Cricetulus griseus: one gene and its partners. The protein of the gene in region 1 purifies or fractionates together with the protein of each later gene. This does not show direct contact. Links are inferred from orthologs where the notes say so. Each region holds a gene or a part of one and is shown in the gene's direction. Other genes may lie near its edges. The genes, in order: Csnk2a2, Pip4k2c, Eif3j, Prmt1, Tcof1, Zc3h18 and Efcab14.

Region 1 (4,525 bases):
AGAAAGAACTGAAAGATGGACATGTGCTGGTCGCAGGGAAGGAAAGGTGATAGAGTCTAGTAACAGCATGAGGCCGGACGGTGGTGGCACACACCTTTAATCCCAGCACTCAGGAGACAGAGGCAGGCAGAGATCTTCTGAGTTCTACAGAGTGAGTTCCAAGACAACCAGGGCTACACAGAGAAACCCTGTCCCTAAAAACAACCAACCAAAAACCCAAATAAACAGTGTGGCATGTAGTGCCTTATTATTGAACGGTCCCGATTGTTTTACATAGTTTAATGATCTACAAAACTCTGTGAAGTAAGTGTTGGGTGTATGCTACAAAATCTGAAGCTCAGAGATGTTGGGTCATTGCCTTAAATCCACATCAGTTGGGAGCTACAGAACTGGGACTTGAACTTGGGTAGTTAGCTATATGAAGAGGAAACAGTCTCATCTAGACAATGGTGAAAAAAGTTTAGACTCACCTGAACTGGGTGAGGATATTCTTGTTGATAAAGAATATGGACAGGAAAGCAAGACAGCCAGGGACCCGAGAAGATCAAAGAGCAGAGTATTCGAGGCTTGTATGCCTACCTAGTCCTTAGCCATGCCCAAGCATTAGCCTCTCCTTCCAGGCTAGTTCTCCCTTCCCCCTCCCCAACAAAAAATGGATATTTACCATCTCAAAGTATTTCCCACAAATTACAAGTTCAATGAAAGGGAGAAAACAGTAACTTTACAGGGAAACCACCTGGCTGACTCTAGTTTAACCAAGTGACCCAAGAGATGACTCAGTGGGCTCTCGGGGGGAATCTGGAGGGGAATTAGGAGGAAACGGTAGGTCGAGGACCAGGCAGATTCTGCATAGAGGGAATAGTAAGTATTGGGACTGAGGGGGTCTGTGAATGGTAGGTGGGGTCCAAAGGGCGAAGTGGAGTGAGGAAGGGAAACAATTTGAGGTGAGGGTTCTTGGGTTTATAGGCAAGTCACTGAGAGTGGCAGCAGTTAGGTGACAGGAAGGTCAGATCAGGGACAGTATGGGAGGTCGTGGTGGGTGGACATGAGGTGGCTGGACTATTCAACTGTGCTGAAAAGGGCGCCAGTCGGGGACGAAGGCTCCTGGGCGGTGACCTACAGGTGGACCTGCAGATGACCAAACTGCTTGGCGGGTGGCGCGGTCGCTGCGGGGGCGGGAGACGGCCACGGTCCCCCAGCGCTGCAGGGGGCGCTGTGGGCCGGGGCGGGCCGGGGCTGGGCGCGGCCGCTCCTGGCGAGCGCGGCCCTTTTCCGGGTTTCCTCCGCCTCCTCCTCCTCCCTCTTCGGCGCCGTCGCCGCCGCTGCCCCTCTCCCGGCCGGTGGCTGCCGCTGCCGCTGCCACCGCCGCCGCCTCTAGGGGCCGCGAGCCGAGCGGAGGCGCCGCGGAGCACGAGCCCCGTCGTCCGGCCGGCCGCCGCAGGCCCGGGCCGGCTCGGCCGCGCCCCCAAGCCGAGCGTCCGTCCGCCGCCCCCGCGGGCCCGGCCTGGCGCGGACACCCGCCGCCGCCGCCGCCGCGCTCCTCCTCCTGTTCGGGGCGGCCCGCGGCCCGCCACCTACTGCGCCTGCCACCCGGCGCCCCGTGCCGCGCCGCCGCCCTCGGCGCCCCGCGGCGCCCCCCGGTCCCGCCCGCCATGCCCGGCCCGGCCGCGGGCAGTCGGGCCCGGGTCTACGCCGAGGTGAACAGCCTGAGGAGCCGCGAGTACTGGGACTACGAAGCCCACGTCCCGAGCTGGGGGTAAAGCCGCCGCCAGCCGCCCCCTCGCGCGAACCGCACCCGGCCGGCCGCTCGGCCTCGGGGCTGGCAGGGAGGCCCGGCCCCGACCGCACGTGTCCCCGGCCTCCCCTGTCCGCCCGGCTCCGGCCCCGGCCCCTGGCTCAGCAGCCGGTGGGGAGAAACGTGGGGTCGGGGTGGGGGCAGCCCTTCCTCCTCTGGCCTTAGGGTTCCTATGGGATGGGAAGTCCATGGCTGTCCTCTTGAGCTGTTAAAATCTCTACCTTTTTACTTTTCTGAAATGAGGCTGGGTGGGAGGAACATTTTTGAAGATGTGCAGATTCAGTGGCTCCCCGGCGGGTGTGAAATGGGAGGCGAGTGCTGTGGAGCCGCAGGCAGGGGGCCACACCAGTACCACCAAGGTGGATGCTTTGCTCGGTGCCTTTAACGTAGGCCACAAGGCCCGGTGGCTGCCCTTTCTCCACAGGTTAGGAGGAGTCAATTAGGTTAGGAGCTCTGCAGAGTGAAGGGAGCCAAGCTTCTGTATGGCTTTCCTTTAGGGAACGAGTTGATGTGTAAGTTTCGGCACCTCCAAATGCTTGATTAATGGAAGTGGCTGGACATAGGCTTGCTTAATCTCAAATCCTGGCATTTATGTGTGTCTCTTGCCTTTCACAGTAATCAAGATGATTACCAACTGGTTCGAAAACTTGGTCGGGGCAAGTATAGTGAAGTATTTGAGGCCATTAACATCACCAACAATGAGAGGGTGGTTGTAAAAATTCTGAAGGTGAGTGTCCTATGAGTGGTATGTAACATTTTCTCCCACAGGGCAAAAGGAACAGCTATTCTAGGATGAGCAATTGAAGCTCTTGTATATCTCCTGGAGGGTGGCTGGCCCTGCAGCACTCCTACCATTTTCCTCTAAACTTTTGAGGAAATGTGCAGACTAGTCTGAACTCTTGAGTTTGATAGGTCAGGAACATTTAAAGTGTAAAATGTGGACTTCTCAGACAACTTGTGAGAGGGGATGTATATGATACAGAATAAATAGGTATTCACAAGAAAAGATTTTGTGTAGGCGAATCTGGTAGTGTAGGGTACCTTCATCATTGAACTTGTTTTGTTTGTTTGGGTTGGGTTTTTTGTTTGTTTGTTTTTTGAGACAGGGTTTCTTTGTGTAACAGCCCTGGCTGTCCTGGAACTCCATCTGTAGACCAGGCTGGCCTTGAACTCAAAGATCCATCTGCCTCTGCCTCCTGAGTGCTGGGATTAAAGGCTTGCGCCACCGCCACCCAGCATCGTTGAACTTGTTATTCTGTGCTCTGAATTACTCCAGAAAGTAAGTTGTCAAAAAATGAGTCTTTTCAGAGATCAGTTTAAAGCCTAGAATGCCAAGCAACTCCCCCAATGGATACTCAGGAAGGTGGTCCATAGGACCTAAGCCGTTCTTTGTGTTGTCAGATCATTTAATGTACATGAATGCCACCTGGGGATCTGGACGGTTCTTCATCTTAGATCACCTATGTGTGTTCCTAGTGAAAAACTGAGAACACTGGAGAGCAGTAGTACTTCACATGAACCCGATTTTCACAGTGGCCCAGTGGAGGTTCTGTACAACAAAAAATGTGGGACAGAAATGAAAAGCTTGTGCTCCCATTTAGTTGTTGTGTCGATTTTAGCATTCTCTAAATCATCTTTCAGGAAAGCGACTGCTGCTTTTGCTCTTTATCATCCTAGCCTAATGATAAAAGAGCAGAATTGCTGCAGAAACAGGTGGTTTTGTCTCTGCTGTTAAGACCCTGGGTAAGAAATAAGAGGTGCTGTTAAGATCAGCAGCTTGGCCCCACTAAATGAGTTGTACATGGAAGGTCTGTAGTTTATTGGTGATGGGGGGGGGGAGGTTAAGCAGAGAAATGTTTCCTTCAAGAAACTTGCTGGAAACCATATAATTTCATTATGTACATAAACATAAGTGGGGTTTTGTTTGTTTGTTTGCTTGTTATTTTGTTTTTTTGTTTTTCGAAACAGGGTTTCTCTGGCTTTGGAGGCTGTCCTGGAACTAGTTCTTGTAGACCAGGCTGGTCTCGAACTCAGAGATCCACCTGCCTCTGCCTCTGCCTCTGCCTCTGCCTCTGCCTCCCGAGTGCTAGGATCAAAGCCGTGTGCCACCATTGCCCGGCAAACATAAGTGTTTTAAATTTACTTCAGACATTTTAATTTTAAGGACTAAACAAAACAAATTGTGGTTAGGAATATCTGAATTCCTTGGTGCACATTTGGAGGATTGAGTTGCCAAATCTAAGACAATTCCAGAGAAATGTCTAAATGCCTGTGTTTTTAGAAGAAGTGCAGTTTTCTGTGGTGTGCTTTAAAGGAAACAGCATTGGGGAATGTGTATGAATCCCAGTATATTTGTTTGGGGAAGCATAGTACTATTTGCTCTTCAGTTGTTCTTGTGAAGAATTTCAGAGGTTAGTTGCTTGATAGTTTTTGCTCTAAAGAGGCTTCACATATATTTACTGAGTCCAGTATGGAAGCTGTGTCAGATTATTTTTATAAATTGTAGACCTAGACACAAAGAAATGTATCTGATATCACAAGGCTCTTCACCAGAATTCTTTCCTATTTCTTCATGCCTCTGGCTCTTCCTTTCAGCATTGGATTATGGGATCTTAGCATTGAACAGAGTATGTTCCAGGGTTTGAGCATGAGATTTTAATGCCCTAGTTCATGAGGTGTTTGTTTTTTCTCAGAGGGCAGCCTGAACCACCTTACACTCCTTTGTCAAAA
Region 2 (3,871 bases), on another chromosome or scaffold:
TGAGCAGATCTCTGTGAGTTCAAGGGCAGCCTGGTCTACAGAGCAAGTTCCAGGACAGCCAGGGCTTCACAGAGAAAAACCTGTCTTGACAACCAAAAAATAGATGATAGCTAGATACATGATAGATAGATAGATAGATAGATAGATAGATAGATAGAATAGTAAAATAAGATACAAACTTTAAGGGGCAAGGAAAGTGCCCATGAAGGAGACTCAGTGTGACTGGTAGTTTGAATTATTAATGCCCCGAGTACGTCTATAAAGGATAAGGGATAGGAGGACACCAGAGGTGAGCATAGTGGGTGAAAGGAGAGATTGTCGGAAGGGTCAAGTGCACAGTTGAAATAATTCAGTGACTATAGTCCCTACTGGATTTGACAACTGAGGAGTTATGGGCTTCAGATTTCAGTGATTTAGGGAATTTCCACGAATAAGGGCTTATTTATTACTTTTACTTATTTATTTTTTTGGTAAAAATATGTGTACAAGTGTTTTGCTTGCATATGTGTGCTTGGTGCCCTTGGAGGCCAGAATAGTATATCATCAGACCACCTGAAACTGGAGTTACAGGAACTGTGATCCACAGTGTGGGTGCTGGGAATTGCACCCAGGTCTTCTTGAAGAGCCATCTCGCCACTCCAAGTGTTTAAGGTCAGCTTTACTTGGGGCCAGGCTAGTGACATCTGACTTGACTTAGAAAACAAAATGATACTGGGCTAGAGAGATGGCTCAGTGGGGAAGAGCACTTCCTGTTCACTCAGAAGACCTGAGTTAGGGTAATGTCAAGTGATTCACAGCTGTCTGTAACTCTAGTTCCAAGGGATGCTCTGGCCTCCTGGGGTGTTCCCACAGACACATAAATAAAAAAATAAGGCATATAGTAGTGCCTTCCTTTAATCTCAGCATCTTTGTGTTCAAGGCAGATCTCTGAGTTTGAGGCCACCTTGGTCTACAGAAAGAGTTCCAGGACAGCCAGGAGAAACCCTATTTCAAAATAATAATAATAATAATAATAATAATAATAATAATAATAATAATTCAAATCTTTATTTTAAAAAAAACACAAAACAATCCAAATTAATTATAGGTCTCCTTGTAGACATTTATACTACAGAACCTACCCCACCAAGAAATAATCATTTTGCCAGGTGTTGGTGGCACACGCCTTTAATCCCAGCACTCGGGAGGCAGAGGCAGGCAGATCTCGATGAGTTTGAGACCAGCCTGGTCTACAAGAGCTAGTTCTAGGACAGCCTCCAAAGTCACAGAGAAACCCTGTCTCAAAAAAACAAAAAATAAAAAATAAAAAAAGAAACAATCATTTCATTGATAAGTAAATCTAAGTTTAACCCTGGTTCTGTGACTTTATTTACACAGTGCCTAAGGTAAGAATAATAATAGCTGCCTTCCTTATCTTGAAAAGTGATAAAGGTAGCTCATTCCTATAATCTTAACACTTAGAAGCTAGAGACAGAGATCAGAGTTGAAGACCCACCCCAGCCATATGAGACTTAGTGTCAAACAAATGAATGACAGAGGTGAGAAAAGGTACTTTAAAATTAGGAGATGGAGAAGCTGGGTGACCAGGAGCATTTTTAGGGACCGGCCACCTCTTGGCTTTGCATCCTCTGCTTGTGGGTTCTTTCCGGACTCTGGAGCAGCAGTGCTTGGATTGCTGTTCCTGGGCTGTTTGCTTACCCTGCCACCCTTTCCTTATTCCTTCCTCTCATTTTCTTCCCTAGTACATAGTGAAGTGTCATGGTAACACGCTTCTGCCCCAATTCCTGGGCATGTACCGAGTCAGTGTAGAAAATGAAGACAGTTACATGCTCGTCATGAGAAATATGTTTAGTCATCGTCTTCCTGTGCATAGGAAGTATGACCTCAAGGTAAGAGCAGGGTGACCTGGGCTAAAGGGAGGGCTACTTCTGGCCTGCGTGTTGAGGAAGGCTTGGGAGGGCACTGGTGACTGCTGTTAAAGGAGAGGTGTAGATTTGATTGTTCATCTTTGGAACTGGGCTTCTGGCTGGCCCTGTTATTTCTTCTGACTTAGTCTTTGGTCTCTCCACAGGGTTCTCTAGTGTCCCGGGAAGCCAGCGATAAGGAAAAGGTAATATTCCTTGTAGGTGATGCTGTGAGGGATGGCGGGGCGGGGTGTGTGTGCAGGTGCAGGAGTGTTGGCAAAGGGATTTCTAGGAATAAAGAAGCAGTTCTGCATAATGGATACAGATTGCAGCTGTTTATTCTTACCTTAAACCACTAGAAAGAAAAGAGATTAAAAAAAATGAAAAAAAACCTACTGGTCTGTGTGAGCAGCAGGGGTGACTGTTAGCATTGTTGTTAGCACTGGTTATTCTGTGTTGAAGGTTTGGGAAAGGTGGGAATGCCAGGTATGAAGAGCAGAATGCTCGTTTTTCATATCGCATTCTGAGCTCTTGCGTTCAAGTAGCTGTTTTCACTGAAGAAGGAGGAAGAAGTCAGTATGGAGGGTATTGACTGCAGTCCATAAGCAGGTAGTGTGGGTGTCATATGAAATGCAACTGACGAGTCCAGGCCCAAAGCAACTGTAAGACTGCTGCTCTCTTCAACGCCTCTGAGGTAGAGAGAGGCCTGGACGGAGGCAGGGTTCTCTGAGGCTTTGGGTAAGGGTGATTCCAACTGTAGGTTAAAGAGCTGCCTACGCTTAAGGATATGGACTTCCTCAACAAGAACCAGAAAGTATATATTGGTGAAGAAGAAAAGAAAATATTTCTGGAGAAGCTGAAGCGAGATGTGGAGGTAATGATTGGGTGCCCAGAGTGCCTTGTATAATAAAAGAAGTGTCTATTTTGTTTTTAAAATTTTTTTGCTTTTTGCCTTCCATTTGTGGTACAAAAATTTTCTTGCCTTTATTTTTGGGGTTTGCTGAGTGGAAGGTTGGGGGTGAAACAGGAGAAACCCCCATTGGTGGGGTGAGGTAGGGAGTGGGATGGGCACTGGCTAGGAGGAGTGAGAGCGTGCTGTCAGATTCCAGGACTCGGGCACTAATTCCTGGGAATACTTTGACCTCGGTTTATATGTTCCTTTCCCCCAGGAGGGCCCAAAAACTCAAGGAAGGAGGCATATGGGTGGAAGCTGGAGCTGGGTGGGAGACCTGGGGTCTCTGATTTGTCAGTGGGTCTCAGTTCCTAGTGCAGCTGAAGATCATGGACTACAGTCTTCTGCTGGGCATCCACGACATCATCCGGGGCTCTGAGCCGGAGGAAGAGGGGCCCGTGCGGGAGGACGAGTCAGAGTGGGATGGGGACTGTAACCTGGCTGGACCTCCTGCTCTGGTGGGCTCCTATGGCACCTCCCCTGAGGGCATTGGAGGCTACATTCATTCCCACCGGCCCCTGGGCCCAGGAGAGTTTGAGTCCTTCATCGATGTCTATGCCATCCGGAGTGCTGAGGGTGAGAGAGAACCTGGAAATGTTAAGGGGGGGTGGGCATCCTTGGGGGACAGAGACCAGGGTGGTGGATGGAGAAGCTGATTAGCTTGTCACAACAAAACTGACTCCAGGGGGAAAGAATTGGGACTGTGTGTACCCTGTCCTCATTGTCAGTCTCTCTCCCCAGGGGCCCCCCAGAAGGAGGTATATTTTATGGGCCTCATTGACATTCTGACACAGTATGATGCCAAGAAGAAAGCAGCTCATGCAGCGAAAACCGTCAAGCATGGGGTGAGTTCCCAAAGCCTTTCCCTTCTTAGCCTGACCCTCTGGAAAGAGAGCACTGGGTGCCTAAGGGAAGGAAGGGGCTAAGGCTCCTCACACATTGTCCCGTGTCCCTTCTCACAGGCGGGAGCAGAGATCTCTACTGTCCATCCTGAGCAGTACGCTAAGCGATTCTT
Region 3 (3,149 bases), on another chromosome or scaffold:
TTAACACATTCCTATAATCCTAACACTTGGAAGGTCTTAGCCTTAGTGGTAGCTAGCTAAGGCTATATAGCAAGACTGCCTCAAGACATCAGTAGACCCGGTAAAGTGTACTGTTGCCTAAACTAGTGAACTGGATAGATTCTGGTGTCTACAGCTTTTTAACTAAAATAGTGGACTGTCTTTGGGGACATCCTGTTCCCCTAAGTCTAAATAGGACTTGGGCAGAACATGTTAGTCCATGTAGAATATTCAGTTTTGGCTTTGCCTTGTGTTCGGAGTTGTTTCTTTTTCTTGGCCTTTATAGTACACCATCTTTCAGGGCCATCAGTTATCTTAACAGCTTAGGAAGTCAGGGCAGGAAGTAAAGCAAAAGCCATGGAGGATTGCTGCTTACTGGCCTGCTCTCAGTAAGTCTGCTTTCTTACAGTTCCCAGGATCACCTGCTCAGGAGTGGCACTGCCCACATCTAGCTGGGCTGTCCCACATAAATCAGAAATCAAGAAAATGGGCCATAGGCCAATCTGGTGGGGTCATTTTCTTTTCTTGGTTGAGGTTTCCACTAAACAAAGGACTTTAGTTTGTGTCGTGTTGATTTAAAAACTAGCCAGCTACCTAAGGAAGAGTTAAAAGACATAGTAGAGAAATCCAGAATACTTCATTTGTCAAATTTGTCATTACCCTGTGAAAAAATTCACCCAAGGCCTTCTCTAGAACACAAGAGACTTGCTTGTTCCCCTTTAGGAAAGTCTGACCATACTCTTCAGTGGGTCTCTAGCAATTTCAGCTGTGAATGTGGGTGTTCCTCTATTCATGGCAGCCCATGTGTGTTCAGAATAGAAAATCTCATGGGATACCAGTTACAAATTAAGAAGTGAAAAATGAAATAACACAGTCATTGTTTGGTTAGTAGGAATTTACTGTTTCTTGCACTTACAATGCTGAATCTGTAGTTTTGCTAGGTCATTTATTGACCTTGAAAAAGGTATATACATAATCATACTTTTCGCCTAGAATTCTTTTAGGCTAGATTTATTTTCTCTCGGTGTTTTTTTTTTTTTTTTTTTTTTTTTTCTTCTTCGAGACAGGGTTTCTCCGTGTAGCTTTGGAGCCTATACTGGCACTCGCTCTGGAGACCAGGCTGGCCTCGAACTCACAGAGATCCACCTGCCTCTGCCTCCCGAGTGCTGGGATTAAAGGCGTGCGCCACCACGTTTTTTTTAACACATGGTTACTTCTGTTTAATTTTTGGGGTTAGCTGGTTATTTTTATTGTATCCATCTTTTTTGTTATCCTTACCCATCTTTGCCCAAGGATGCCTTGGAAGCCAGAGGACAACTTGTGGAGTTGCTTCTCTCCTGCCATGGGAGTTCAGGGGATTGAATATAGGTGGTCACGCTTGGTGACAAATATCTTTACCTACTGAGCCTTCTCCCACTCTATCTCTTTTGTTTTTCTTGGACAGATCTTTTGAGAGCATCCTTTTTTGGACAGCTAGTAAATTCTGTGGGTCCTTTTTTAGTATGGCTTTTGTTTTTGAGACAGGGTCTCTGTGTAGCTCTGGCTGGTCTGGAACTCACTCTGTAGGCCAGGTTGGCTTAGAACTCACAGAGAAGCTTGCATCTACTTCTGAATGCTGGGATTAAAGGTGTTTTCTAACACTTTATTTTTAACAAAGGAAACCTGTTCAATTGAAACAGGAATCAAATCACAAAACAAATCCATGATAAAAGTAAAGATTTTTAGTTTCTAGTGCAGGGGATTGAACTCAGGTCTTCATACATGTTAGGCAAACACTACCTGAGCTACATTCCCAGCCCATATATAGTTTTATTAATTTGGTTGTTGGTTGTTTTGTTTCTTTTTTGAGATGGGTTTTTGCCAGGCTGGCCTTGAATTCTCCATCCTCCCAAGCTGGGAGTATGAATGTTCATAACTACTCAACTTCATGTGTTTTGTTTTGTCTTTTCAAGATAGGGTTTCTCTGTGTAACAGCTCTGGCTGTCCTGGAACTCATAGAGATCCACCTGCCTCTGCCTCCCCAGTGCTGGGATCACAGGCATGCGCCATCAACGCCAGGCCGCCAGGTGCTTTTTAATAGTAGTGCTTGACAGTACTGATCAGACAGTGGTGGGGATATCTGCTCCAGCTGCAGTGTACTCCGAAGGGTTTTTTTTAAATGTTTTTGCCTAAAATTAAAATAGGCGAAAATGCTGAATTGGAGGCTAGTAAAATTCAAGATAGATTTTTTTCTTTTCTTGTTAAAAAGCTCAGTAGTTTGTAAAGTTTCCTAGCGATGGAATGGTGGCTCAGTGGGTATTAAGCCTGATAACCTGAGTTTGATACCCCAGGGCACATATTGATGGAAGGAGTGAAAGTTTATCCTCTGATTTACACATGCAGGTCATGGTGGCATGTGCACACACAATATGACAGTTTGTTTAAAGTCCTGCTTTAGAATAAAACTGATTTTGATAGCAACTTGGTTAATGAACTTTAAGGTTTTTGTTACAGAGAGGGTTGTGTTGAAGTCAGAAGACAGTTTTGTTGTGTAATCATCTTTACATGGGTAAAGCTCTTCTTACCCAGAGAGCCATTCTAGCCCCTATTGATGAAAATGATTGTCTTCTAATGCTTCAGCTCTTTTCTCCTGCAGGTGTTAATAATACAGGTTATGGAATAGATGCTATGAACCCATCTTCAAGAGATGACTTCACAGAATTTGGAAAATTACTAAAAGATAAAATTACGCAATATGAAAAATCACTATATTATGCCAGTTTTTTGGAAGCCTTAGTTCGAGATGTCTGTATTTCATGTAAGTGATGCTGATTTCTGCCCCCTTTGTTAAGACTATATTCTTAACATACTTGGGAAACTTTTTTTGTTGTTACTGTTTGTTTTGTTTTTCTATAGCTTTAATGCTATAATACAGACTTGGGATTTCCTTTTTTAGCAAATATCTCCAGTTTGAATATTTGGGGATGGCTACTTTCATTGTTTTATATAGTAGCTTCTCACAGAGATAGCAGTCTTATGCCATACAAAACAGGTCACAACACTAGGTAACCCTTTTATCCAATAATCTCCTAAAGGCCTACACAGTATCTTTAGAGGGAATGCATTAGGGGCTTCTCAGGTTTAGAGCTCAG
Region 4 (4,545 bases), on another chromosome or scaffold:
ACCAAGTTCGATCCCTTGTACCATGAGAAATGGCATGGAAGCATAAAGGTGGCAAGAGCCGCAGGTAACTAGGGTGGAACTGTAAAGCGGGAATGGAGGTAGTTTAAGGATTGAGACATTGTCCTGGGGGTGCAGGGAGGCCCAAAAAGGCCATAGGCAGAGATGAGCTGCAGGGATTGGCAGGTGGGAGCACTAGGGCTGAAGGCCTTGGGGATTGACAAAACTGACGGAGGGAATTGGAGGGAAAAGCCCAGAGGCTATTGATATTTGGGATGAAGTAGCAGGATAGGCAGGAGTCAATCAAGAAATCATACTGAACCAGGCAATGGTAGCGCACACTTTTAATCTCAGCGCTTGGGAGGCAGAGACAGGAGGATCTCCGAGTTCCAGGACAGCCAGAGAAATTCTGTCTCGAAAAAACAAAAAGAAAAATCATACTGGCTGGAAGAAGTTTACACAAGCCTTAAATCCCAGCACTTTGGAGACAAAGGCAGGCTGTACCATGAGACTCTGCCTCACACCAGATACCTTACGTGTGCAGCAGATGGTGCAGTGCTTGCCGCTCAAGACTTGACACACGCACGCACACGCACACTAAACAGTGTTAGGAGTCGGAAGGAAGAAGGTCATCTGAGCACGAGGAGGCCTGGAGTGGAGAGGCACATTTGGGAACTTAAAGGACCCTGTGCTTGGGCCGAGTACTGGTGGGACAAAAGGTAAGAGGCAGGGGCACAAACCCAGCAATTGGCATCCATCTTCAGGCCAGGAGTAACTTTCTGCAGATCCAGGGAAACTTCCTGGAGGAGATGGAGTCCAAATTGCCGCGTGGGAGTTGGCCAAACAAAGGGAGATGGGTGTTTCATGCAAAGGACTAGGAGGCCACAGGTCTTCAGAACTCGGCACAGTCCAGTACAAGGTTATGGCTCATCGCACTGACATTCACTACGACTCCTGACAAGTTTCAGGACCCCTGATGAGAACGCCTCCACATCTACTCACAGCGACTCGGCATTTTCCCCTAGCTCGCCCACGCGCCCCAGTTCCGGAGAAGCCACCGAACGTTGATGACTGATGTTCCTGGGAGCCAATCGCTTCCGCCCAAAGCCCCGCCTACCTCCTTGTGGGCCAATGGTCCCTGTCGTTCTTGGCCAGTCTCTCGAAGGGACTGGAACAAGAGCCCTGCAACGTCACGTTTTGCTCAGCTAATTGCGGCGACGGAGAGGCGGGCCATCTTAATGATCCACAGCAGAGTCTCTCGACATCCGCTTAGCGCGGAGCCCGCCGGGAAGCTTCAAGGCGGAGCTGGCCGGAAGGAGGCGGGAAGACCTGGTGGGATATCCTCCAATCATCACATGCGCTGCCTAAGATAGACAGACAGTTGTTCCCTTCCTAGCCGACAGGAGGGGGTGGTCCTTTGAACGCTAGGAGGGGAGGGCGCCCGAATTTTGATAGACGTGCTCAGCGCCCAATTGCAGTGCGAGGCGGTTAGATTGACGGCTGCGCCAGCCATTGGAAACTTATGGCGGGGTCTCGGGGGCCGGGCGGTGGACCCTCTGGTAAAAGGCGGTCCCCGGCCGGGGGGAGAGAGAAGAAAGGGGGGGGTCTCGGAGGCCGGAGGACTCGGGTGAAGATGGCGGCAGCCGAGGCCGCGAACTGCATCATGGAGGTGAGTAGCTGGGCTCTTTAGGCCAGTGGGTAGGGGGAGGACGACGGGTTACCCACGGCCTGAACTGTGGAGACGGGGCCTTGGGTGTGCTGGGCCTCGCGGAGGTCCGCATCGGGGGATGTGTTCAATCGTGACCGGGGCGACCCCAGCTTATGGGACTCTCGGACCCCGCAGTCGAGTCGAGGGCCGTCGCACGTGGTCGCGGGCCGGGGGCGCGTCCAGCCGGGCCGCACGTGGTCGCGCAGCGTAGCGTGGGGAGGGGGGTGTGCCACTCGAGGGGCCCCGCGGGTTCCACGTGCGGGACAAAGGCCCCGCCCCCGGCCCGGTGACCTGGGCTGCACTCCGGGGGTCCTGGGGGGTGCCACCTGCGTCCTGCTGTCCGCTGGGTGGTGGACATCCGTGCACCCTCGTGGGGCCTGACCTCACTTTCCTCCACTCTGAGTTACCCCTGTGCGGTTGGGGGGGGATGGGCAGAGCCCTGTGACCTCTCTGTTAGAGGATGGTGGGGCATCTCCACCGAGGAGATCCGGATCCGGCGCCGGGCACCCCCTCGTGGTCATTATGGGCTTGTGAAAGGGGCTCTTTTTCATGGGGCGTGGCCCAAAGCCCACCCCCTCATGGAAGCGCCCTCGGGTGGATGGTCAGAGGTCGGTCTTGGGGCTGGATGGCTATGTAGGCACGCAGACCAAGGGGCCTTGACCCCCACCCGACCCCTTTTTTAGGATTCTCACCTTTGCCTAATTTCCCCCCCAAAACAGAATCAAATTCTAGCACCTGGCTTATTTGCTTACAGTTGAGTGTTTCCACCCCTGAGCTGTATTCCTCAGTCCACTTTTTACTAACTTTGATGCAAAGTGGGTCTGGCCTTGAACTCACCCTGTAGCCCAGGCTGGCCTTGAACTTGCCATCTTTGCTTAAGCCTTCCGGGTAGCTCTCGTGAAAGACTTCACTACTAGGCCTGTAAATCAGATCCTCTCCTAGTCTCAGGTTTCAAACCCTCTTCAGGAAGCCGTGTGGTGGTGCATGCCTTTAATCCCAGGACTCGGGAGGCAGAGACAGGCGGATCTTTGTGTGTTCAAGGCCCATTAGAACAAGTTCCAGGACAGGCTTCAAAGCTACACAGAGAAACCCTGTCTCAAAAAAAAAAAAAAAAAAAAAAGCCAGAAACAGAACAAACCCTCTTCAGTCAGTTGTTAACCTGCTGGTATCTGTACTACTGAAAAAGAGAGGCCCACATGGGAACTCCCCCCACTGGCTACCCGACCCCTGAGGTGGTAGATCGTGGCCTCTCTGGCCTTAGATAGCAGTCATCTATCTAATGGGATAATGATGGGATATAATCTGGTGGTACCCATACCTCTTCAAGTTCTCTGGAGAGGAAGGTCAGTTGCTGGGACACCTGCCATGGGGATCAGTTCGCCTACAGTGTCACTGAAGTGACCCTGGGCCTGGCACTTGTGGACAAAGGAAAAAGAGGGCAGTTTTCAGTGTGGGGACCAAGGTGGGGTGTGAAAGGGGGGGCTTTCGTAAGCTCACACGTGGCGGTGGGGCTCAGGCGGATTTTGGCAGAAATATTTATCGTAACAGCTTGCCCCAGCTTTCCAAGGCATATTTTGTACTCCTGGGGGGCAGCCCTCTTCCGGGGGCAGGTAAAACAAAGAGCCTTGCTCTGTGTGTTCCTTGCCCGGGTGGAGCTGGGGTGGTGTACTCACTGTGGTGTGGGGGTATGCCACATTTCTCTATTGGAATGATCTTTGGCCAGGAGACAGGATTGTGATGGGGCAGACAGGTGCCCAGCACCCATTACCTGTCAGCCCCCTCCGGTTTATTCATGGCACTTCAGCCTGGTGTGTCTGTCAGGAAATGTCACCTAATCTAGGGGGGATTAGGTAGTGAAGGGGAGCAACAGCTGAAAGTGCCCATGTGCCTTGGCAGGTATTGGGCCCTCTGGCCTAGATAGGGTAGGTATGTGTGGCCAGTTATCTGACCAGAGAGGGACAACATGGGGCGGGCCACCATCTCTTCAGCCAACAGCTGGGACAGGAGACCCCACCTTCCTTTCCCTCCCCACTTGTATCCCTTCCTTACACAACTGCAGCCACACTGCTTGCTCCTGCTTACACCACTCCCATGCCCAGGAAAAGCCAACCTGCAAAACACTCACTGCCCCAAAGGCCTTCCCCAGCCACCCCAGTAGCTAACCCTTTTTCCCTGTTACTCTCTCCTAGAATTTTGTAGCCACCTTGGCTAATGGGATGAGCCTCCAGCCGCCTCTTGAAGAAGTAAATATCCTTTTGTGAGACCCCCCCAGCCCACTTGCATATAAGCATACTTTGATATGCACCTGGCTCCTCAGGAGGTCTATTCATCCTCTTGCTTCAAACCAGTTTCCCCTGCTGTGGCCCCTAAACACATAGGACAGACCCCTTCCTGGCCCAAGCTGGCTCCCCCAGAACCATGGCTGCTTCCTTAACTCCATCTCCAGCCCTCCTCCTCTGGCTTTCAATGTGTCTGCCCTGGCTCTGCCCTCCCTTCCCTCCCTCCCCAGCTGTGGGCTGAGCTAGAGACGGGCATAGAGCCTGGAGAGATGGTAGGCGAGGCGGCTGCTCCCTGGATGGTGCTCTGGGTGGGTTCTGAAGTGGATACCGTCCCTTGGGAAGAAAGATGCCGGAGGGGGCTGTAGGGCTGTCCCATTCTGAAGAGGGGCCTTCTTGCAGGTTGAGGAACCTCTGAAGAGCCCACCTGTGACCCTTTTGCTACTCCCCCTCTTTCAGGTTTCCTGTGCTCAAGCAGAAAGCAGTGAGAAGCCCAATGCTGAGGACATGACATCCAAAGACTACTACTTTGACTCCTATGCCCACTTTGGCATCCATGAGGTG
Region 5 (4,604 bases), on another chromosome or scaffold:
TTAATCATATGTGAGTCCAGAATTTGGATGAAAATGTATATTGACAGATATAACATTCCTAGAGTGAAAGCTACCAGTAGATTTCTAACCTGTCCATGAAATTAACAGCGGCCTCAAATATGCCCCAGGCCACTCCCATTCTTTCCTGTCAGTGTCCCCTCATCAAACACAGCAGCCCACATTGGAGTTCTTTGTTTATTTGTTTGTAGCAGGGTTTCTCTGTGTAAACCTGGCTGTCCTGGAACTTGCTCTGTAGACCAGGCTGGCCAGATCTGCCTCCTGAGTGCTAGGATTAAAGGCATGGTCCACTGCCAGCCCCTGGTTTTATATTCTCTTTGCAGCATGTCAGAACTCTGTTGGGAAAAAGGTACTATAAGCTTGCTTCCAGTATTCTGGACTCTCTTTTTCACAACTCTCCAGCCTAGCAGTACAGAGTTTGGGGTTCCCTTACTAAACAACAAGTTGATTCACACATTCTGACTCGTGCAGTACCTCCAGCCTGTCCTCTCTTCGGTGCTCAAAAGTTTCCGTTTCTGCTGTTGCTGGGCGGTGGTGATGCAAGCCTGTAATCTCAGCACACAGAAGGCAGAGGCAGGGGAAATCTCTGCGGTTTCGATGACAGCCTGGTCTACAGATCGAGTTCCAAGACAGCAAGGACTACCCAAAGAAACCTTACCTGAGGTGTGGGAGGCGGTCTCCTGTCTTTGAATCTAAATGTATGTAAGTCTCTTTGGGTTAGGTGCCCCTCCTCCATGCTTCCATGGGCTCTGCCTTCTCTTGAACTGTAATTGTCAACTGTATCTCCAGCCTGGGTGATCTTTGAAGTCAACTGCTTGTTTTGTTTCTCGTTACATGTCCTCAGCCTAGCTGGGTGCTAACCTAACATATAGGGTTTGGGTAAGGATTTATGTAGTGATTCAACACACTAATGACAACTGATGCCTGGACCTAAATACTGTATGAAATAATGAGTAATTGGAAGCTGGGGCCAGTGATCAGAAAGTTCGAAGATGAATAAAGATGCCCTATCGTTAAGACCAGGTCAATAAAGCCCTTCAAGGGCAGTGGTGGCACACGCCTTTAATCCCAGCACTTGGGAGGCAGAGGCAGGCGGATCTCAGTGAATTCGAGGCCAGTCTGACCGACAAAGTGAGTTCCAGGACAGCTAGGGAACAACTAGGACTGTTACAGAGAGAGACCGTGTCTCGAAAAACCAAAAAAAAAAAAAAAAAAAAAAAAAAAAGTAAACCAGAATTAAGATGAAGGAGCCCTTTCCATCATGGCCGTCCCGAGGGCGGGTCGAAATCAGGCCACGCCTCCAAACCAATGGCAGAGATGATTAGCCTTCGTGGCTCCGCCCTCTCGGACGGTATGGCCCACTCCAGCTGCAAGACTACATTTCCCAGTGCGCCACACGGCTAGGTGACGCAAAGCCGGAAGTGAGGAGCATGAGGTCCTAGGGCACGAGGGAAGAGGCTGGCGGGGGGCTAGGGGGCGTGCACGTGAATAGGCTGGCCGGATCTCTGGCATGGCCGAGGCCAGGAAGCGGCGGGAGCTGCTTCCCCTCATCTACCATCACCTGCTGCAGGCTGGCTACGTCCGCGCGGCGAGGGAAGTGAAGGAACAGAGCGGCCAGGTAAGCGTCGGAGGGCCAAGTGCAAGACCTAGAGAGCAGTAGCCCGCGCCCCTCCCTGGAGACCCGGCCAGCGCGGGTCCGAGATGCGGGACCAGGGGTGCAGGAGGAGCATTAAGGTCTACTCTAACCCCTGCGACTTCCAGCCGCCTCCCGGGGTTCAGTTTCCTCGTCGGTGCAGTGGGCGGGCCGGAACCTCTGATCCGAGGCATGCAGCTTTGTAATTCCCGCCCCGGTTCCCGGTAGCCGCAGGTTTAAGTTTCCCTAGTTTCAGGCCACGTGGCTCTATGCAGTTTTCCTAGGGCACCCTGCTAGTCGCTGGTCTCGGGGTGGATTGTCATCATCCTTGTTTGGAACACGGAGAGGAAGGCCCCCTTAGTTGATGATCTGGAATGCAGGGCGTGCAGGCCCTTGACTGTCTTCGGTTATAACAAGACTCAAACTCATGGTGCAGTAATTCTTCCACTTGGCAACTTTTAGTTTGACCCTGGGGTGCAGATGACGAAATGGGGACCGCCAGTCTCAGGCCTCCCTGCTCATCTCACAAAAGTATCACAAGTGTTCTGTACGGTTAACATTGTATTAAGCTGTAGAATGGGAGATTTGAGATGTTAAAACATGGCTGGCAGAATCTGGGTGGGGAATACCCAGGACTGCTTCTCTGAGGGTGTAGTAGTTGGTTTGGAGAGCTCAAGGGAGATGGGTAGTTATAGGTGCTGATGCCCTGAAGTTGGAATGGAGCTTCTGAGTGTTCTAGCCTCCAGAAAGTTTGCTGTACCTGAAGTTTGAAATCCATGACTATGGAGTCTCCCAAAGAGATGGAGGCTGGAATGATCCATGGGTAATCTTCCCAGAAGAGCAGTGGTAATCACTGGTGAGATATATAATAACTGGTGGATATGTTGTGAACTCACGGCTAGCCTAGTCTGCATAATGGATTCAAGGCCAGCCCAGGGCTAAGTTGTGAGAACTTGTCTCAGAAACAAACGAACTCAAAACCGAAGGCTGCTGGGCTTTAGGATGTTATATGTGGTTTTCCTGACCTTCCTGGACCTTGATGCCCTAACAGATAGGGGAAGCAGGACATAGTGCCCATCATCATGGTTTGTGTGCCCAAGCAAGAGTACCTCTTCTCACAGAGCAGATACATAAAAATAAGCTTGTAGATTAGCCTGTCTAGATTGTGGCAGGTGCTGGCCACAGTGAGGGGAAGCAAGGAAGATATGGAATGTCAGACTCCAGTTACAGCTAAGGTGGTCAGAGAAGTCTTATGGCGAAGATGACATTGGAGTAGAGACTAGGAAGAAGTGGAGAGTTGAGCTGTGTGGTTGGCAAGAAGGAGAACAGTAACAGGAATGACAAAGCCCTGTTAGGAACTGGTGGTCCAACTTATTTATTATGACACTATGCCTGAGTTAGCGCAGAATCAAATTGACTAGATAGGGCCCTTCAGACTGACAGCAGCCCTTTCCATCTTATGTTTACTGAGCTGTAAAGAAGTATCCTGGAGTTTGCAGAGATAAGAGATGAGTTATCCAGTGAGTAGGAGCTCTTCCAGACTCTAGGCCAATCTGTTTGGGTGCTGGCTTGGTTTTTTTTTTTTTTTTTTTTTTTTTTTTTTCCCCTCTACGTGTGTCTCTTTTGACTCATTAGAGCACTTGGCTGTTCAGTCTTGATTTCTACACAGTGTATCCTCGGCCTAGGCCTGGTACCTGTTTTCCTCTGTTTTAACTGAAACCCTTGAACCAGCCAGGCAGTGATGGTGCATGCCTTTGATTTGTAATCCCAACACTCAGGAGGCAGAGGCAGGCAGATCTCTGAGTTAAAGGACAGCCTGGTCTACAGAGTAGACTGCGTACTTATTGGAGCTTTCTATTATTATTTCTCTACAGAAGAGTTTCCTGACTCAGCCCACCACCCTTCTGGACATCTATACACACTGGCAACAGTAAGTCTGGTGGAATGGAAGGGATAGAACAGGGTTACCATAACTGATCATCTTTGCCACAAGGTAATATACTAATGTGGTCTAAGATATGATCCAATAGCCCACTGTGGACACTTGTCACCTTCAAAAGGCAGGTTATATCATATATATGGGTAATCTCTGTGTGTAGCTTATCACAGGGGGAGACATTCTGAGTTGGAGCCCATCTGTTTTTGTTGTTGCTGTTTTGTTTTTGAGACAGGATCTCACTCTGTAGACCAAGCTGGCCTCCAGTTCTGGCACTAAAGGAGTGTCCGACCACACCCAGTGAAAGATGGATCTCTTAAGAATAAAAGCTTGAGCCAGGTGGTGGTAGCAGCCCACATCTTTAATCCTAGCACTCGGGAGGCAGAGGCAGATGGATCTCTTTGAGTTTGAGACCAGCCTGGTCTACAAGAGCTAGTTCCAGGACAGCCTCCAAAGCCACAGAGAAACTCTGTCTCGACCCCCCCCCCCAAAGAAAAAAAAGCTTGTGGTGGCACTGACCTTTAATCTCAAGGCAGAGGCAAGAGGATCTCTAGGTTCAAGGCCAACCTGGTCTACATAGTGAGATCCTGTCACAGAAAAGAATTGGAACAGATGGTTTCCTTTTTTTTTGTTTTGGATTGTTTGGTTTTTGGCTTTTTCGGTTTTGGGTTGTTTTTTTTTTTTTTTAAGAAGATTTTATTTATTATGTATATAACATTCTGCCTCCATGTATGCCTGAACACCAGAAGAGAGTACCAGATGTCATTACAAATGGTCATGAGCTACCATGTGGTTGCTGGGAATTGAACTCAGGTCCTCTGGAAGAGTATTCAGTACTCTTAACCTCCGAGCCATCTCTCCAGCCCCGGTTTCTGTTTTTTGAGACAGGGTTTCTCTGTGTAGTCCTGGCTGCCCTGGAACTCACTCTATAAACAAGGCTGGCCTCAAACTCAGAGATTGAGTTTCCTCCCGAATGCTGGGATTAAAGGCGTGTGCCACCACAGCCCAGCTGGTTTC
Region 6 (4,573 bases), about 27 Mb from region 1:
TTCTCAGTTGAGGTTCCTTCCTCTCTGATGACTCTAGCTTGTGTCAAGTTGACATAAAACTATCCTGCACACCTGGGGACAGAGAAAACTAGATTGCAAATTGAAGGACTAGGAAAGAAGACATGAGTGCCAGAGAGATGGGCTGGGAGCACTGGGTCATAGGAAGGGTGGTGCATTACTTTAGGTTTTATCTGATGGCTAAAGAAGCCACTGGAGGAATCTCGAGCCATCAGGGAAGTGACTGAAACTGAGTTATAAAATGTGGCTCTGACTGCATAAGAAAGTCCCCAGGAGTGAGAAGGGGGATATTTAGTATTAATTCAGGCAACAAGTGGGGTGGAGAGCATAGAGAACAGGAGGGAAATTCAAAATCCACCTGGATCTATATATGCATGCATGCTGTGGCCCAGCTAATTCAACAATGGCCGCCTACCAACAACGGAAAGTCCAAGAATCCAGTGGGCTGGATTCAGTCAAGGTTAGATGTCTCAACTGGTCTTCAGTATTCATTGAAATCCTGAAGAAGTAGGCCCTAATGCCAGTGAACAAATGAACTTGCCAGAGTAGGAGCAAGCAGGCAAGGGCTTCCTTCCTCCATGTCTTTTACATAGGCTGCCACCAAAAGGTGTGGCCCAGATTAAAGGTGGATCTTCTCACCTTAAAAGATCCAGATTAAAGGTGGGTCTAACCACTTCAAATGATTCAATCAAGAAAAATCCCTCACAGGTACTCAGCCACTTGGGTTTCATGACTAGGCTTTTCTTGAGCACCATTTAAGGGTTCTTATAGCATCTCTGTGCTTATAGCATGTGTCAGACCATTGCTTTCTGTGGCTGAATTAATGTTCCTCTGTAAAAATGGAACAGCTATGGGCATCTGGGCTGTTTTCCTTGAAGTTGTCCGAGGAAGACAGGCAGCCCCCAAGCATGTAAGCCCAAAACCAGTTCCAAAATTTTCAAGGGGCCAGTACCCAATGACCGCGCCACACTTTGTCAGTAGCGATCAGGGGGTTTAGGCCAGCAGCAGCAACAGAGCACTGCTGGGGGGGGGGGGACTGTAAAAAACGTTTCAACGGCTTAAATCCTCCCCAGGGGGATTCCACTGGGTCATGGTAATCATATTTAACGAAATCAAGAATATTTAGCGCCACTCTAACTCTACAAATATCTCCAAATATTCCTTGGGGGGGGGAGCGGGAGGCGAGGACCAGGACCTGGAGCTGTCTCTACTTCAGAGCTACACTCCAGTCTCCAAAATACTTTTGGTCAAGCATTGACATTTAATAAGACAGGAGATTCTCGCCTGGCAAAGACCTATCCCAAGTTTTTAGGCACTGGGGTGTCCACACGCGCAGACCAAGAGCTACAAAGGACTTTCCCTACCGGGGGTCACGATCCGCCCGCTGCCAGCCTTTCCCCATCCCGGGAAGCTACCACCAGAAATCCAGAGACTCTGCGCACGCGCCGCTAGATGGCTCGCTAGAAAGCCGGCCGGCCTCGGTGGGCGTGCGCAGAAGCGGAGACTTGTGAGCGCGCGCCACGGAGGAGGGGCCTCAAGAGTCCGGAAGGAAGCGCGAGGAGGGCGGGGCTAGCGAGGGAAGCCCGCCGGCCCGCAGTACGGCCGTCGCGGCCTGATGACGTCGCACAATGGCCGGCCCCCGCGGGTAGTGGAGCCCGTTTGTTCCGCCCGCGTCGTGCCTGAAGCCAGAGTCAGTGAGAAGCGGAAAGGTCGAGGAACGTCTTGTCCACGCTGCTCCCATCTCAGCGGAGCCGTGGCCGCCTCCCGTCCTCGCGCTGAGGTAAGCGGGGCCGGCGGGTGGTAAGAAGGAGGCCGCCAAGCGGCGGCGGGAGCGAGGCCCGGGAGCCCGGCGCCGCCTCCCGAGCTCGGGCGCGCCCCCGGCTGTGCGCAGCCGCGGGTCGAAGCGCGGCCCGGGACAGCGGGCAGGCGCGAGCCCGCTGCGGCCTGGGACGTCCTGGCGACTTTAGCGCGCCGCGGTCTGCCATGGTGAAGTTGGTTTTCTGAAGCTGTCATTTCTCTTCCGGGCCACTCGGCGTGGCACATGTTCGCCGCCTACAAAGGGGAGTGAAGCACGCAGGTTGGCTGGGGAGGAGGCTCGCCTGGACTGTCGACGGGCTCTACGGGGAACTTTGAGCTCTCTGGAGCCTCCTGCAACAACATGCTCTCGCAACTTCAAGTGTGCACAGGTGCCCCGAGAGGTCCGATCTCTTAGGAAGTATAACCTCCTCACCTTTTGGACTGTGAGCTCAGAGACACCGAGTCTTTGGCGTAAAGTAGCCAAACAATTGTAGTGCTGGAAAGAAACTAAGACTTAAGTCTCGCTACTGCTGGAAATTTAGTTTTCCCCGTGTACATTGACAGCTGAGCTTACCGGACACAATAGTAGCTTTAAATGAGTTCTGTTTAGCACTTACTTGCAAGAGTAGGTAATTCTTCAGATCCATTTGGGGATAATGAAAGAGAGCATCTGGTTCATCTCCACATTACCTATCCCAAGGCAGGGGTTGGAGATTCTCAACCCCTAGGCTAATTTCCATTTCCCAGCCCCTGAGAGGAGAATGTGTTTGATCTGAGCACTTATGAAGCCCAGCCAGTTCTGGAACCAGTTCAATATGTCCCAAAGCCTGAACCTTCTCTCCAGTTGTAGGTGGGGAATACTAAAACATTTTAAGAGAACTTTGTGGATTTACTTCAGAACACTCAACAGGTAAGCTCTTGCCTTGCTCATTTTTAAAGAGCTATCTTGTCATTTACACACCATCTCAAGGTGACTACTCCTTATCAAAGAGTTTTTGGTTGAGCTTAAGTCAATTTGGAATTGTGCTTATCAACAATCCTGACATTCTTGCTGTATACACTGAAACGATGAATGAGGATTTTAAACAGGTATAATAGAACTTAGACATCAACATAGGATCTGCTCTGCTAAAAGTAGTTTCCCACAGCTGGGCAAGGTATACCACAACTTTAATCCCAGCCTTTGGGAAGCAAGGGCAAGAGGATCTCTGGAGGCTGACCGAGTATACATAGTGCCAGGACTACATAATGAGACTTTGTCTCAAAAGAGAAAGCAGTTTCCCAGAAGTTGTGCTTGTTATTGATCCACCTTTGCTGAAGTCCACTTGAAACACCTGTCTCAGTAGTAAGCATGTGAATTAATTGGTTTCATTTTAATAGCCACACACCCCTCTGGCTTTGGAGGCTGTCCTGAAACTAGCTCTTGTAGGCCAGGCTGGTCTCAGAGATCCACCTGCCTCTGCCTCTGCCTCCCAAGCGCTGGGATTAAAGGTGTCGGCCACCAGTGCCTAGCTAGGCCAGGCTCTTAAGTAGTTTGTAGCAGTTCCTCAGTGACCCAACTTTGAGGAGAATGTGTTGTTACTATTCTGCCGTTAGTGGTGTGGTTGAAGTCAGTTTGGCCTCCCAGAGCTGCTGCTGAGACAAGAGCAGAGGACAGGCTCTGGAGCTCTGGTTCTAGTGTTTTACAAATTAGGCAACTTTTTTGTTTTTAGTATGCAACAGGTAGTTCTTTGCTTAATGAGATTTTTGTCAATTATTTAACAAGTATTTTTCAGGTATGTCAAGTGCAGTAGGGGAAAGAAACAGTGAAAGACTTGAGTCATTCCACCCACTGAACAGGTTCACCACTTTGGATTGGAGGACTAAAGATTAGCTCTAAAACTTGTGAGAGTCCCACATTACTGAGTGATTGGCTAAGATGGGTTGGTCAAAGATTGTAAACATGGAAGTGTATTGAGTTGGACTGAAGGACCCTCAATTAATTGTTTACACTTGATAGGGCATATAGTTCCCTTCATCCAGCATAGGGTAACACACAATATTTGTCTCAGAACACTGGCACCTAGAGAGACAGTGAGCCTTCCTAGAGCAGGGCTGGAAATCAAGCCATCTCCTGATTCCCTGTATGATTCTTGCTCTAAAGGTATGATTTAGAGTGGTTTTTCAAAAAACACACAGATTTGTAGTTGTCCCTGAAACATGTTAACCTGAATGTGGCCTCCAGTAGTACAATCCTAGGAGGTCCCATGGGAAGGAAGAACAGTGCAGTGCCTTTTCTCAGAAAATCTTTCAGGGCCTCTGCAATGTAACTCTGCACCATGGCAGCCCTGATCATGCATCCTGTGGATGCTAATCATGGCCGCTGTAGTCTCAGAAGTGTCCCAGCCGTATAGTACAGTGTGTGGTGTATAGGCTGCTGAATGCCAGCCCTGTGAGAGCCTCTTATCCTTTCTCACTCTGCAGGATTGGGAAGAATATATGTTTTCCATCACTATGACAATGCATGAGGTGATGAACTCATACAGAGAAAAGATTTAAGTTGATGTAGTGGCACACACCTTTAATCACAACAATCAAGAGACAGGGAGGCAGATCTCTGTGAGTTTTAGGACAAGCTGGTCTACAAAAAGAGTTCCAGACAGCCAGGGATACATAGAGAAATCCTATCTCAAAAAGAAAGAAAAAGGGGGTGGCAAGAAAAGGTATATTTTGGCTCTCAGTTTGGTATATTGTAGAATCTAGACCATGTTCAGTTAGT
Region 7 (3,871 bases), on another chromosome or scaffold:
TTAAAGAGAATAAAGAAAATCTTCTCTAAGAAGAATTTCTGTCCTGAGTTTAATGCCCTTTAAAACCTATGGTAATTATTCCTTTTTAAGTAGCAATCAGTACTAGAAGATGTCAATAAAAATAATTGAATCTTGTACTAAATAATGCACTACTTGCTGTGCTTTTGTTACACAAGCCAATTCAGTAATTGGTATTGTTCCTAAGGTAGTTTTGTTCTGACCAATTAAGTTAATGGGACTTCAGTTAATAACCCAATGTGCTCTCCTGCCAGCAAGTGAGGTAAACACTTTGGGGAAATTAATTCCCAAACTCACTGCTTTGAGTGGGAGCTTGCAGACAGTTCTCTTCTTTACCCTCCTGTCTAGCTGAGGCCAAACAATTCAAGAGAGGGCAAATTGGGACCAGTTTAAAGAAAGAAGAGCAAAGCAGATCTAGGCAGTTGGAGATTGCTGCCAAGAAAAGTACCTTACCTTGTTGACATAATAATGGTTGCTGCATTTCTCCTATCCTACTTGTCTAGTTGCAGTATTTAGGTGGATGTCATAACTCATTGTTTCCACTCTAGGATATCCTGTACCTTCACAACTCCTTAGAGGAGATCAACAGTACTGTAGTGGGATACCAGAGACAGAGTAACCTTAAATTTGAGGGGATGAACGAGACACTCAGTAACCTGACACAGAGACTCAGCCTGATGGAAAGTGATGTGGCTGCACTGAACAAGGCAGAAAAAAGAGCAAACCTGACCTCCAGCAGGGTAAGCCTTTTCAGATCTGCTGTGGCATGCTCTATGTCGGTGTGTGTTGTCTGTACATAGATGTAATTCCCTCTCCTTATGTGAACAGTAGTCTGGCATACTTAAGAGGCTACACATTTGTTTTGTGCTTAACTTACTCCTGCTTAAATTTATATAGCAGTTCTCTGAAGTGCACAGGGTATGTGTGTTTGAAAGGGGTAAGATCAAGGATCAGTTTAAACACATCAACTCACTAGGACTTGTTGGCAGGAATAACAAGTCTCTTACAATGTTGCCAGTGTTTATGTTTTTCCAAAGGAGGTCTTTTTTCCTTTCCTTTCCCTTTCATTTCCTTTCTTTTCTTTCCTTTTCTTTTTCCCCCTTAAGGTATTAGAAGTGGTAAGAGCAGCAGATACAACAATCTTGTGCAATTTTTTAAACCCTGAGCTTGGCTTTCAGATTCATCCTGCTCCTGTCTGCATATTAAAGGAAACCTTTTGCATATAATGTTAGGGAAACCATCTAAAACAGATGAAGTTGCTTCTATAAATAAACCCTAGTGAAACCAATAGGGTTACACAGAATCTGAAAGGAGAAGGGGGAGTCCATGGGAAGGAGGAGATTAGCAGGAGTGGGAGGAATACAGAAGGGTTAATGGGGGAGTGGGTGGAGGTGATTATGATAAATATGTTATGTACATGGATAAAAATATAATGAAACCCATTATGATGTATAACTAATATTTTCTAGTAAAAACACTTGTAAAAAGATGAAATCAGGCCAGGTGGTGATGGTGGCACATGCTTGCTAGCTCTGAGGGTCACTGGTTTCATGATCTCGTGAACAGAGTCTGTTTGTTTTTAACCACATTTCATCTATACATCCTGGTGGGATTCATGTGGATCATTTTGTTAACAGTGATAGGTCTCACTTTTAAAGGTTCAATAGAGCAAAAACGTGGTACAGTTTTTGATGGAAACCAAATTCAGGAAACCACACTGTAAATTCAAGTAAAAGCTAGAAGCTAACCCACACATAAAATTGAACCCTGACACATGGTAAGGAATGCTTGAGCTGGCTCTGCCACAGTGAACTTTTGGCAAGCTGCCTAAATATGGCTTTGAAAGGTGGGGTTAAAAGACCTGTCCCCCTCTGACTGGCCCTCCTGCTTTACAAGAGTGTGTAATTTACTACAAAGCTGTGAAGATTAAAGGAGCCCTAGTTTTTAAAGCCCTTTTGAACTCAGCTAAGCTAAGTAGGAGCTGAGAACGTTGAATGATTTGATGAATAATGTGCCTTGAAGGGTTTTCAAGGCTTATTGTGAAAACTTACCACCCCAAGCCCCTTGCAGTCTCTGCCATCCCCTTCTTATTTCTATCCAGCAAAGAGAATTGGTAATAGTATCCATCTGTCTTACTATTTCTTCCAATAGCCTCAGACTGAGCCTGGATCTGGGGAGAAGCCTCTATTCCCACTTCCTGTTTCCTTGTGCCCGTCTCCATTCTCTGTCTCTCCCACTCCTTTGCCATTTGTGTTTAAAGTGTTCAGATCCTTTCAATAATTTGACCAATTTGTTTAAGAAGTTGTAAGTGTCAGAGTTGGAGAGATGGCTCAGTTAGTAAAGTGCCTGCCACACAACATGAAGACCTGTGTTCAGATCCCCAGTATCCACATAAAAGCTGGACACAGTGGCCTGAATCTGAAACCCATTAGTGCTGGGAGTAAACAGAGACAAATTCCTGGAGCTCATTGGCCAGCCAGCCTAGTCGAAATGCCAAGCTTCAGGTTCAGTGAGAAAGCCTGTCCTAAAAAGAAAAAGGTGAAGAATGATTGATGATTGTCAGCCTCTGCCTACACATACATACATACATACACACGCGCGCGCGCGCGCGCGCACACGCATGAGCGTGTATAAACACATATGTAAAACACACAAAAGTATTTCCTGTCATCCAAGTTTTAATGTTTTAACCTTTTCCTCTGTTTTCTTTACCCTCTAAGATGGGAATAGGGCTTCCACTCTGAAAAGAGAGTCTTTGGTTAACAACAGAGCTACTACTGTAAAGGCCCAGGGCATAGTGGTAAACAGGAGGCTTCTGTAAAGTAAACAGATGCATCAGCATCTCCACACTGTTCGCTCTAAGAGGAGCACTTTGATCTCTTGTGACAAACTCCAAGGCAGAGCAATTTGTAAGTTAGGGTACTAGTGAGTGAGTGAATATCACACCAGGTACCTACCTTGTGCTCATCACTTTACCAGGAGCCACGATGGCCACAGTGAATGACACAGATACATGACCCCTATTGTGGTATAGCTCACAAAGCTGGACAGATACTTAATCACAAGTCTGGTAAGTACTACAGTGGGAAAGCATAGGGATCAGGTGGGCTTTCCTAGTTTTTAAGCTAAAACAGTTACTGTCCCAGTCTGCTTTTGTTGCTGTGACCATGACCAAAAGCAACACAGGGAGGAAGGCTTATTACATCATATGAGTTACAGTCCATTATCAAGGAAAGCCAAAGCGGGAGCTTGAAGCAGAAACTATGGAGGAATGCCACTTACTGGCTTGTTTTCTCTGGCTTTCTCAGCTTCTTTTCTTATACAACTCAGGCCCACCAGCCTACGGATTTCACCACCCTCAGTGGGCTGGACTCTGTCTCCTACATCAGTTAACAATTAAGAAAATGCCCCATACACATGTCCACAGAGCAGTCTAATGGAGGCAGTTCCTCAACTGGGGTTCCTTCTCCTCAGGTAACTCTAGTTTGTGTCTAGTTGACAAAAATTATTTAGCACAAATATCTAAACTAATGATAGGGGACAGGGGCATAATTTAAAACTGGTGTCCAGCTTAAAAATCATTTTGCATTTAGATTGCATTCTCAAGACTTTCATAGTCCTTTTTAAGTCCTGCTGAGATAAAGGGAAAGCCAGGAAGAGGTGACAGAGTGACTATAGCTTCATCTGAGGTGCACACAGTGTTTGAGTTCAGAGGATATGAGGTTCATAGTAGATGAACTTGGCTGAAACCATAGTGTAGAAGCTTTTGATATAAAGCTTTCTATCTTTACTTTTTCATCCTTAGCAATTTTAGCTTAGCAGTTTTATCCTTACCAATTGTCTAGATAAATTC

Evidence for each region.
Region 2: the proteins of Csnk2a2 (region 1) and Pip4k2c purify together in Homo sapiens (affinity purification with mass spectrometry; 3 studies listed by BioGRID and IntAct, with this or other methods). This does not show direct contact. The link is inferred for Cricetulus griseus from reciprocal best matches to the Homo sapiens genes CSNK2A2 and PIP4K2C.
Region 3: the proteins of Csnk2a2 (region 1) and Eif3j purify together in Homo sapiens (affinity purification with mass spectrometry; 5 studies listed by BioGRID and IntAct, counting the BioPlex papers as one, with this or other methods). This does not show direct contact. The link is inferred for Cricetulus griseus from reciprocal best matches to the Homo sapiens genes CSNK2A2 and EIF3J.
Region 4: the proteins of Csnk2a2 (region 1) and Prmt1 purify together in Homo sapiens (affinity purification with mass spectrometry; 3 studies listed by BioGRID and IntAct, with this or other methods). This does not show direct contact. The link is inferred for Cricetulus griseus from reciprocal best matches to the Homo sapiens genes CSNK2A2 and PRMT1.
Region 5: the proteins of Csnk2a2 (region 1) and Tcof1 purify together in Homo sapiens (affinity purification with mass spectrometry; 3 studies listed by BioGRID and IntAct, with this or other methods). This does not show direct contact. The link is inferred for Cricetulus griseus from reciprocal best matches to the Homo sapiens genes CSNK2A2 and TCOF1.
Region 6: the proteins of Csnk2a2 (region 1) and Zc3h18 purify together in Homo sapiens (affinity purification with mass spectrometry; 3 studies listed by BioGRID and IntAct, with this or other methods). This does not show direct contact. The link is inferred for Cricetulus griseus from reciprocal best matches to the Homo sapiens genes CSNK2A2 and ZC3H18.
Region 7: the proteins of Csnk2a2 (region 1) and Efcab14 purify together in Homo sapiens (affinity purification with mass spectrometry; 4 studies listed by BioGRID and IntAct, with this or other methods). This does not show direct contact. The link is inferred for Cricetulus griseus from reciprocal best matches to the Homo sapiens genes CSNK2A2 and EFCAB14.

Annotation. Positions count from the first base shown.
Region 1 is NC_048596.1:171,671,942-171,676,466, reverse strand, and holds the start of Csnk2a2 (casein kinase II subunit alpha'), read left to right. Parts: upstream 1-1,652; coding exon 1,653-1,756; intron 1,757-2,410; coding exon 2,411-2,522; intron 2,523-4,525.
Region 2 is NW_023276806.1:130,514,450-130,518,320, forward strand, and holds part of Pip4k2c (phosphatidylinositol 5-phosphate 4-kinase type-2 gamma), read left to right. Parts: intron 1-1,742; coding exon 1,743-1,889; intron 1,890-2,071; coding exon 2,072-2,110; intron 2,111-2,664; coding exon 2,665-2,778; intron 2,779-3,164; coding exon 3,165-3,432; intron 3,433-3,597; coding exon 3,598-3,701; intron 3,702-3,818; coding exon 3,819-3,871. UniProt on the Homo sapiens protein: Phosphatidylinositol 5-phosphate 4-kinase with low enzymatic activity. May be a GTP sensor, has higher GTP-dependent kinase activity than ATP-dependent kinase activity. PIP4Ks negatively regulate insulin signaling through a catalytic-independent mechanism.
Region 3 is NC_048599.1:56,393,252-56,396,400, reverse strand, and holds part of Eif3j (eukaryotic translation initiation factor 3 subunit J), read left to right. Parts: intron 1-2,653; coding exon 2,654-2,815; intron 2,816-3,149. UniProt on the Homo sapiens protein: Component of the eukaryotic translation initiation factor 3 (eIF-3) complex, which is required for several steps in the initiation of protein synthesis.
Region 4 is NC_048599.1:153,870,252-153,874,796, reverse strand, and holds the start of Prmt1 (protein arginine N-methyltransferase 1), read left to right. Parts: upstream 1-1,559; 5' UTR 1,560-1,630; coding exon 1,631-1,666; intron 1,667-3,894; coding exon 3,895-3,948; intron 3,949-4,153; exon of another isoform or gene 4,154-4,253; coding exon of another isoform or gene 4,254-4,256; intron 4,257-4,440; coding exon 4,441-4,542; intron 4,543-4,545. UniProt on the Homo sapiens protein: Arginine methyltransferase that methylates (mono and asymmetric dimethylation) the guanidino nitrogens of arginyl residues present in proteins such as ESR1, histone H2, H3 and H4, FMR1, ILF3, HNRNPA1, HNRNPD, NFATC2IP, SUPT5H, TAF15, EWS, HABP4, SERBP1, RBM15, FOXO1, CHTOP, MAP3K5/ASK1, MICU1 and NPRL2.
Region 5 is NC_048595.1:178,248,431-178,253,034, forward strand, and holds the start of Tcof1 (treacle protein), read left to right. Parts: upstream 1-1,444; 5' UTR 1,445-1,528; coding exon 1,529-1,636; intron 1,637-3,525; coding exon 3,526-3,581; intron 3,582-4,604.
Region 6 is NC_048596.1:199,022,434-199,027,006, forward strand, and holds the start of Zc3h18 (zinc finger CCCH domain-containing protein 18), read left to right. Parts: upstream 1-1,656; 5' UTR 1,657-1,798; intron 1,799-2,659; exon of another isoform or gene 2,660-2,725; intron 2,726-4,573.
Region 7 is NC_048595.1:36,568,144-36,572,014, reverse strand, and holds part of Efcab14 (EF-hand calcium-binding domain-containing protein 14), read left to right. Parts: intron 1-566; coding exon 567-758; intron 759-3,871.